Linked DNA regions of Tribolium castaneum. The protein of the gene in region 1 purifies or fractionates together with the protein of each later gene. This does not show direct contact. Links are inferred from orthologs where the notes say so. Each region holds a gene or a part of one and is shown in the gene's direction. Other genes may lie near its edges.

Region 1 (2,933 bases):
AACCAATTTTTGCGATTAAAATTCCACTGCTTATGTAATTGTTAGACTGCGGCGAGCGCTACCGCTAATTTATTAAGCTATTATCAGTCAAACGCTTGGGGTTGTCCGAGGTATTTTTACCTCGAACAAAACAACGGATATGCTGCACAAGTTGTTCTACCTAGCGGTAAATCCATATCGGGAAAAACCGCAAAATCTCGGGAAGAAGCGAGTGAAAATGTGGCGCTAGATGCCTTAAACATGCTAAAAAATGTAAGATTTTTACGTAAAAATAATAAAACTAAAAGTATGTTCCTAGAAGAGTTCTAAGCCAGCAAAAACGGGCCTTCCGTCCGAATTTCCCGTGCCCCCAACCAAGTGGGTCCAAGACCGCCAACAACAAAACAAAATGCCATCCCAAGTTTTTGTGAATAAGTCGTACCAGGTACCACTCTAAATCGTCAAAGAAACGCCGAAATCTTTTATTTTAAGTTCAAACAGGGTGGACATAGTCAGCATCAGAGAATGCCGCCCCCGCACCAAACGGACTACAGTAGAAGGGACCCCGAGTCTAATTTTAGTCGAAATCCGCACACGAGTGCGAAAGCACACAATTTCGTGCCGCTTCAAGCGTTAAAAAAGAAGCAAACTCATGGGAATAAGAATCTTAACACTGGGAATAAGAATGTTAATGAAAATTCACCGCGGAAAAAACAAGAAAAAACTGATGTTTCAAGTAACAGCCAAAACGCTGGAATCTCGAAGGTGAAACTTGCAATGGGGATAATTTAAGTTGACTGACTTGTTACAGGCATGTGAGTTGGAGCGAAATGACCGGCGGGATAAATCAGCAAAGCAGAGGAAAACTAGAATTGCAGCTAGATTCAATCAGTAATTTTAAGAACTAATGGACTGAATTAAAATACATTTTGTTCCGTCTTAATTTCCTCCACTTTAGGTTGATTGAACTATTCCTTTTTAAAGAAATATTTATGGACAAAACTTGAACAAAACATGTGGTTTTTGAGTGTATATACGCTTTCATGCTGTAAATATACACATCCTTCTTTGCCTGTGGACTTTCATTACCTTTGTGCTGCTGATACCAAGCAAAAATGTGGTCAAAAATTTAACGAACACATTGATAGATTGCTATTTTAATTAATATATTTGAATTTTAACTTTTTTAATTTTTTGTCCATATAAAGGGCGGTTTACATTGACCGGTTATCATCATGGAATGAAACGACAGTGGGTGGTGTTTGATATTTTATAAATTCATAAAACACAAACTCGGGCTTTATTATTCAAATTAATTCGATGAAAACGTGATTACCTAATTAGGCATTAGATCTTTTGTGAATTTTTTGAAATTAAAAAAAATGGCGACGTTTTTCGCGGGCGTCGGCAGCGTTCGTGCATTTCCGGCGCAGTCGGGTTTTGGTCAGTTGGTTGTTCGCACTCGTAAATAAAAAATGTGTATGATTTTAAAACGAGACATTTGTTAAAACCAAATTATAAAGAACTCCTCACAAAATGGTTTCTAGTAACATTGAAAAATTAGCAGAAGACTTAGAGAAGCAAGAGTTAGAAGTAAGAGTCATCATCGAGAGATATAACCTCAAACTTCCAATTTTTTACAAATTTGGCGTTTTTTCAGGCACAGAACGGTATAGCATCACCTCAAGTTTACGAACAACTCCTAGCTATATATTTATACGAAAACGACTTGTAAGTATCGCCGGTTTTGGTTCGGTATTGCCGCTAAGGCTAGTTGTAGATGCAATGCAAAATATTTATGGAAACGCATCCCGGCTTCGGTGAAGTCGTCCACTCCTGAGCTAAACAACATCTGGGCCGTGGCCCAGCATATGTGGAAGAGGGACTTCCCGGGGATTTACAAGGCTCTGAACGCGGTAACATGGTCCGACGGTGTGGCGAATATTATGAAACAAGTTCAAGGTTTCTTGCTAATTGGATCACTCTAAACACCACTAATGATTGCGTTTTACAGACAGAGTGAGAAATAGATCAGTAGATTTAATAGCACAAGCGTATTCTTCAATAACATTAGACACTGTTTCTGCAATGACGGGCTTGCCCCCAGACATTTGTGCAACGGCTTGTGTGGAGAGGGGCTGGCAAGTGGAAGCCGACACTAGGATGGTTCACCCCGTTAGACCAACCCCACAAACTTCTGGCCAGACAAGTAGTGAAGATCAATTGTATAAACTGACAGATTTTGTATCATTTCTCGAAAATTGAATTGTATTTTTGTTTTTATAAGTTAATTGTAAGCTAATATAAATATTTCAGTAAATTCCTTCTCATTTAATTGACACAATGCAGAACCACTTGGTGTAATGCCAAACAATTTCCTAAAATAACGGGTGACACCTTCAGATATAAAATAATCCACAGGCGTCGCCCTACACGCAGTCAGTTTTCACACGCGACTAAATGGCTCCAGCTTCACCATGGGGGCCTCAATCGAGCGAAACGAAATGAACAAAATTCATAAAAACCGCCAAATAGCCTGTCAATTTGACAACTCGCCTGGGATTTGAGGTTAAAAACGCTTGACGTTTGTGTCATTGGGTGGCCAAAATTTATTTTTTATTTTATTTTCCAATTTAACGCAAAAATGGTAAAGCATTCGGTCGTCCAAAGGCACTGCTAATCGATTCCTTTCCAGCATGGAAGGATCAAAGTTCGCACTAGCGAAGAACAGAAGCTGCAAAAGCAGAAAGAGCAGCAGAAGAAACTGGTAGCTTATCGCATGGGAATGAAGCAGATCTTGTCGACGAGAAATAAGGAGAATTATGATCCGGCGTCGTTGCTTTTAAGTGGCCAGCTCTTGAGTGTGAATCCCGACATTTACACTTTGTGGAATTACCGTAAAGAAGCAACTTTAATGGAACTGAAGGAGAAGTAACTAATTTCAAGTCTTAAAT
Region 2 (4,389 bases), about 5.3 Mb from region 1:
GTTCTTCCGCTTTCATTTCAGCCAATTTCCAATTTTTTATTGTTTCAGTGAGGGCGAAAAGACAACGGTACTAGGATTAGGACAAGCATCGACATTTCTCCAAAAATTGACGAAGCATTGAAATGTCGTGCGCACTTATCGTAGTTAGTTATTTAATTCCCTATTTAATTAGGTTTAGCAACTGGACCAAAATTGTGGTTGTTCTAAATCATAAGCTATCCATAAGTATTTTTTGATGTTACTGTGATATGTAAAAGCAATCATTACAGCATTGTATAGTATTTATGAACAATTTTAAGGCAGGTCCCGAACCTCCTTGGAAATCTTGTAAATTGATTTTTAATTAAATTATACAAATAAATTTTCTACAAAACTAAGACTTACCTCAACGTCTTGGAGAGTCTGCGTCCACCTGTACTTGTCCAAATCACATCCATTGCCACTGTTTGGCTTCAATTTCCCAATCTCTGAGGCATCCTCATCCTCTTCAATTTTCTCAACAGCTGGGGCCCCATTACTCACCCCACTTTTCTTAGCATCTAACTCGGCTTGCAACTTTTCAGCCTCAGCATCAGTCAATTCGGTGATTTCCGCCGGTTTTACCTTCTCCTCTTCTTGCTGTTTCTTCTTTTTGGCGGCTTCACGTTCCCGACGCTCTTTTAACTCCGTCTCGTGTTTCTTACGACTAACTTGTTCGTATTTCCTAAATGTGCTCATTACTAACTAAAAACCAGGTCATTATTTTTCGAACTGGCTTTACCCCGGACTACCTTTTCCCATGCTCCTTCCTCGCCCCCGGTGAAAAAATCCGTCTTGCGGCTTAGAAAACTCACAAAAGTGTCCAATAACTACAGTTTTGTCGTGATTTTAAGGTTAGAGTAAACAGATCGAGGCTCACCTGCGAAGCGCCGTGCGGATGGTGCTGGGCTATTGACAGGAAGAGGGAATCGAATTGCTCAGTCTGATTATCATCGCCACTCATCTTGACTGGACTTTTTTCGTGAAAAAATGGTCAAAAATCGTGGAAATTGCTAGACTTTTCTTCTATCGACCAAATATCAATTGTACCAACCAAACCAATCGGCGTGAAAACTTCCAAAAACGGTGCTTGTACCAACATTGATGGGTCAACCGAATGTGGGAATTTTAGCCAAACGGGGACCACCCTCAAATTAAAATTAAAACATGCAAAGGGGGTGTATATTTCGATAGTGCGAAGCTTATTTCCTATTCGTTAAATTTCCCAAGGGTTTATTTTAGCTCTGTTTTTTTTTTGTACCATTGGCGGCACTTTTTTAGTAACATACGTGCTCGATTTTTCAATGGAAGCCAAGAATTGTGTTTTGCGCTTTGTGAATGTGTATTGCGCCAATTTGTGAAATAATCAAACTGATTACGATTTTTTACAAGCCAGAAGTGTAGAGTTCACATTATCGCATTGTTTTTGCCAGTCTCCCGGTGTCCTAATTATCTCACCTTGCAATTACGGAACTGTAAAGTATTTTAGGTTATGTTAAACTACCTCATGCCCTTTATTTTATAACGTTTTGAGCCAATAATGTCGGAAAACAGCAATTCGACTTCTGTTATGTCAGAAGTCACAACTCTGATAAGAAACTGGGAAGATGAACATACGGCGCCTAATTATGACCCCATTCAGACACTCACCAGGTAGATCTTGCCTTAATTTGGCAAATTCTTACCCTTTTGTTGGCAGATTGGCCGAAATATGCGAGGTGGAGACTGAAAATTACCTGAAAATGGATCCTGACCCATTTGATGAACGCCACCCTTCACGAACTGATCCTGACTGCAAACTTGGCCAAATTTTAAAAGCGCTTTTTAGGAAGGATATTTTTATGAACAAAGTATTAACTCTCCACAAAAACATAAAAAGACACACATAAATATTTTTTCAGCTTGTTAACGATTATTTGAGAGAAACGTACTACTCTCGGTCAGGAATCACAGACAAGGATGTTGATCAGTTGAATATTGCAGCTTGTAGGTTGATGCTAGACGTAATGCCTGGCTTAGAGACATCAGTGGTGTTTCAAGTACGTGTCAATTATTTTTTTGGGGGGAAAACTAACGACTAGTTTCAGCCCGATATGGATAATTTGATTCACCGTTTAATTAAATGGACTACAAATTCAATAGAACCTCTGCAAAGTTACGCAACGGGGCTTTTAGCTGCTGCAATGGAAATTCCAGAAATTGCCACACGTTTTAGGTAAGTTTCCGCTTTGGTCTTATCGCAGTTAATTACCAAAAAATAGGGAACAAAACGGACGACTTGTGCCTTTACTACTTCAAAGACTGCGTAGGCTTCAAAATTCCTCGGAATTTTTGACCACGACAAATACTCGACCTTTTGCACACTTATCTTCAATGAAGTCGCCCCCTTATCGCGGTGACGGTGTCGTAAAAGTTTCACCCTCTGGTATTAAAAGGCGTACGTAACGACACCCTATTGTATTTTACCCTTCAATAATTATTCTTACAGCCCGCGAGAATGGAGTTATTCCAAATTCGAAAACAACACTTAATAAAGAAAACACTGATGTGATTAACACTAGTGAGGTAAGCGCGCCTTTTCCTCCTCGTGATATGGTCTCACGTTTAATACAGTTATCAGATTCGGAAAGCGGCCAAAAACGCAAAAAACTAAAGCTGGAGCACAATTCAAGCGAAGCTGATGAAGGCTCTCCTCAAAAACCCTTCCTATTTAACGAAACGAGCAATTCGTCGTGGGCAGAGCTTGAAAGTTTTATGATTGGAACCGTGCAAATTTTTCCGCCAACTATAGCAACGCGTCAAATACTCATTTTACGTTATTTGACACCGTTGGGTGAATATCAGGAGTTTTTGAGTCATGTTTTCGAAAATGACGCTCTTAGTTTGGTCTTAAAGTATGTGAATGTCCGAGCGACTAAAGAAGCAAGACTTGCATTTGAAGCCTTGAAATATCTTGCTGCTCTTTTATGCCACAAAAAATTCTCGATTGAGTTTATTCAAATGGATGGTCTTGAGGCACTTCTGGAGGTGCCAAGGCCGTCAATATCAGCCACTGGGGTCTCGATTTGTTTGTACTATTTGGGGTATTGTGAGGAGGCAATGGAGAGGGTTTGTCTGCTTCCGAAATACATGATCACCAGTTTAGTCAAGTAAGTCTAAGTTATACCTTACAGTTTGTAAAATCAATTAAAACTCATAATTTAAAAAAAATCTTAGGTATGCTTTATGGCTTTTGGAATGCTCACACGATTCGGGCCGATGTCATGCTATAATGTTTTTCGGTCTCACGTTTCAATTCAAAGTGATTTTGGAGGAATTTGATGCTCATGATGGGTTACGAAAGTTACACAATGTGGTAAGTTTATCCCAAGTAAAAAAAATTGTTTGCTAGAGTTATATGTACAGATTTCTACTTTATCAATTTTACTGCCGGACACCGATACGACTCAACTAAACGAAGATCAAGAGTGCGCCGCTCGTCAAATCGTTCGCCACGTTTGTGTTGCATACCGTCGTTACCTTGAAGCTCATCTAAACCTAAAAGTAGAACCAATTAAAAGATCACAACTTAGACTTAACGAAAAAATGGCACAGCCGCCTTTACCGGCGCAGCCGAGCTACAAACCGTACAAGTCATCGCCTGAAGAGGTGCAACAGAACGTCGAAACGTTGTTGCAATATATGCCGTTTCGGTGCCATTGGACGCCAGTTGATCAGTTACTCAAATTAGGGGGAATCACACTCTTGTTGAAAATAATCGCGTTTGCGTATGAGTGGAATTATAGTGGGAGGGCTGAGACGGTCAGGTCGGCTTTGGATACGTTGGCTATTGCGTGTGTGATGCCTAAAGTTCAATTGTTATTTTGTGATAGGGTGGAATTGCCAGAGGAGAGTGCCACAGTTGGTACGAGAAAATCACAGTTTTGGGATTTTTTATTGTTTTTTTCTTCTGTAGGGATTAATATTATTTTGGGGGCCGCTGAGGGTGAAATAGTGGCCGATGCTGATGTACAAAAGGCTGCGCTTCGAGTCATTGTCAATTGTGTGTGTGCCCCCATAAATAGGGTACGTTTTTTACCGTTTCCAGACGTTTGTTTGATTTTTTTGTTAGGTTGGTGGTACTTTAACCCGATATTCGGCCACGGTTAACAGCCCAATTAAGAAAATTAAACTCAAAAGTAGCGAAGAATTGATTCAGAGAGTTTGGGATTGTGTCAGGTCTAATAGTGGTATTATGGTTTTGTTGCAATTAATGAATATTAAAACACCAATCACTGATGCGGACTGTATACGAACTTTGGCTTGTAAAGCATTGGCCGGCTTAGCACGGTCGGAAACTGTCCGACAGATCGTGTCAAAATTACCGCTTTT

What was found.
Region 2: the proteins of CSN8 (region 1) and mahj purify together in Homo sapiens (affinity purification with mass spectrometry; 4 studies listed by BioGRID and IntAct, counting the BioPlex papers as one, with this or other methods). This does not show direct contact. The link is inferred for Tribolium castaneum from reciprocal best matches to the Homo sapiens genes COPS8 and DCAF1.

What each region holds. Positions count from the first base shown.
Region 1 is NC_087398.1:6,313,422-6,316,354, forward strand, and holds CSN8 (COP9 signalosome complex subunit 8), read left to right. Parts: upstream 1-1,388; 5' UTR 1,389-1,515; coding exon 1,516-1,572; intron 1,573-1,639; coding exon 1,640-1,710; intron 1,711-1,759; coding exon 1,760-1,941; intron 1,942-1,993; coding exon 1,994-2,244; 3' UTR 2,245-2,299; downstream 2,300-2,933. Other genes in the region: pcm (5'-3' exoribonuclease 1), read left to right, coding at 46-252, 299-424, 472-744, 791-874; RabGGTa (geranylgeranyl transferase type-2 subunit alpha), read left to right, coding at 2,624-2,626, 2,675-2,910. UniProt on the Homo sapiens protein: Component of the COP9 signalosome complex (CSN), a complex involved in various cellular and developmental processes.
Region 2 is NC_087398.1:985,907-990,295, reverse strand, and holds the start of mahj (protein mahjong), read left to right. Parts: upstream 1-1,290; 5' UTR 1,291-1,558; coding exon 1,559-1,671; intron 1,672-1,717; coding exon 1,718-1,868; intron 1,869-1,919; coding exon 1,920-2,057; intron 2,058-2,105; coding exon 2,106-2,233; intron 2,234-2,279; coding exon 2,280-2,455; intron 2,456-2,506; coding exon 2,507-2,583; intron 2,584-2,631; coding exon 2,632-3,167; intron 3,168-3,234; coding exon 3,235-3,373; intron 3,374-3,423; coding exon 3,424-3,922; intron 3,923-3,973; coding exon 3,974-4,083; intron 4,084-4,129; coding exon 4,130-4,389. Other genes in the region: uncharacterized protein LOC656652, read left to right, coding at 49-74; nuclear migration protein nudC, read right to left, coding at 385-723, 771-848, 899-982. UniProt on the Homo sapiens protein: Acts both as a substrate recognition component of E3 ubiquitin-protein ligase complexes and as an atypical serine/threonine-protein kinase, playing key roles in various processes such as cell cycle, telomerase regulation and histone modification.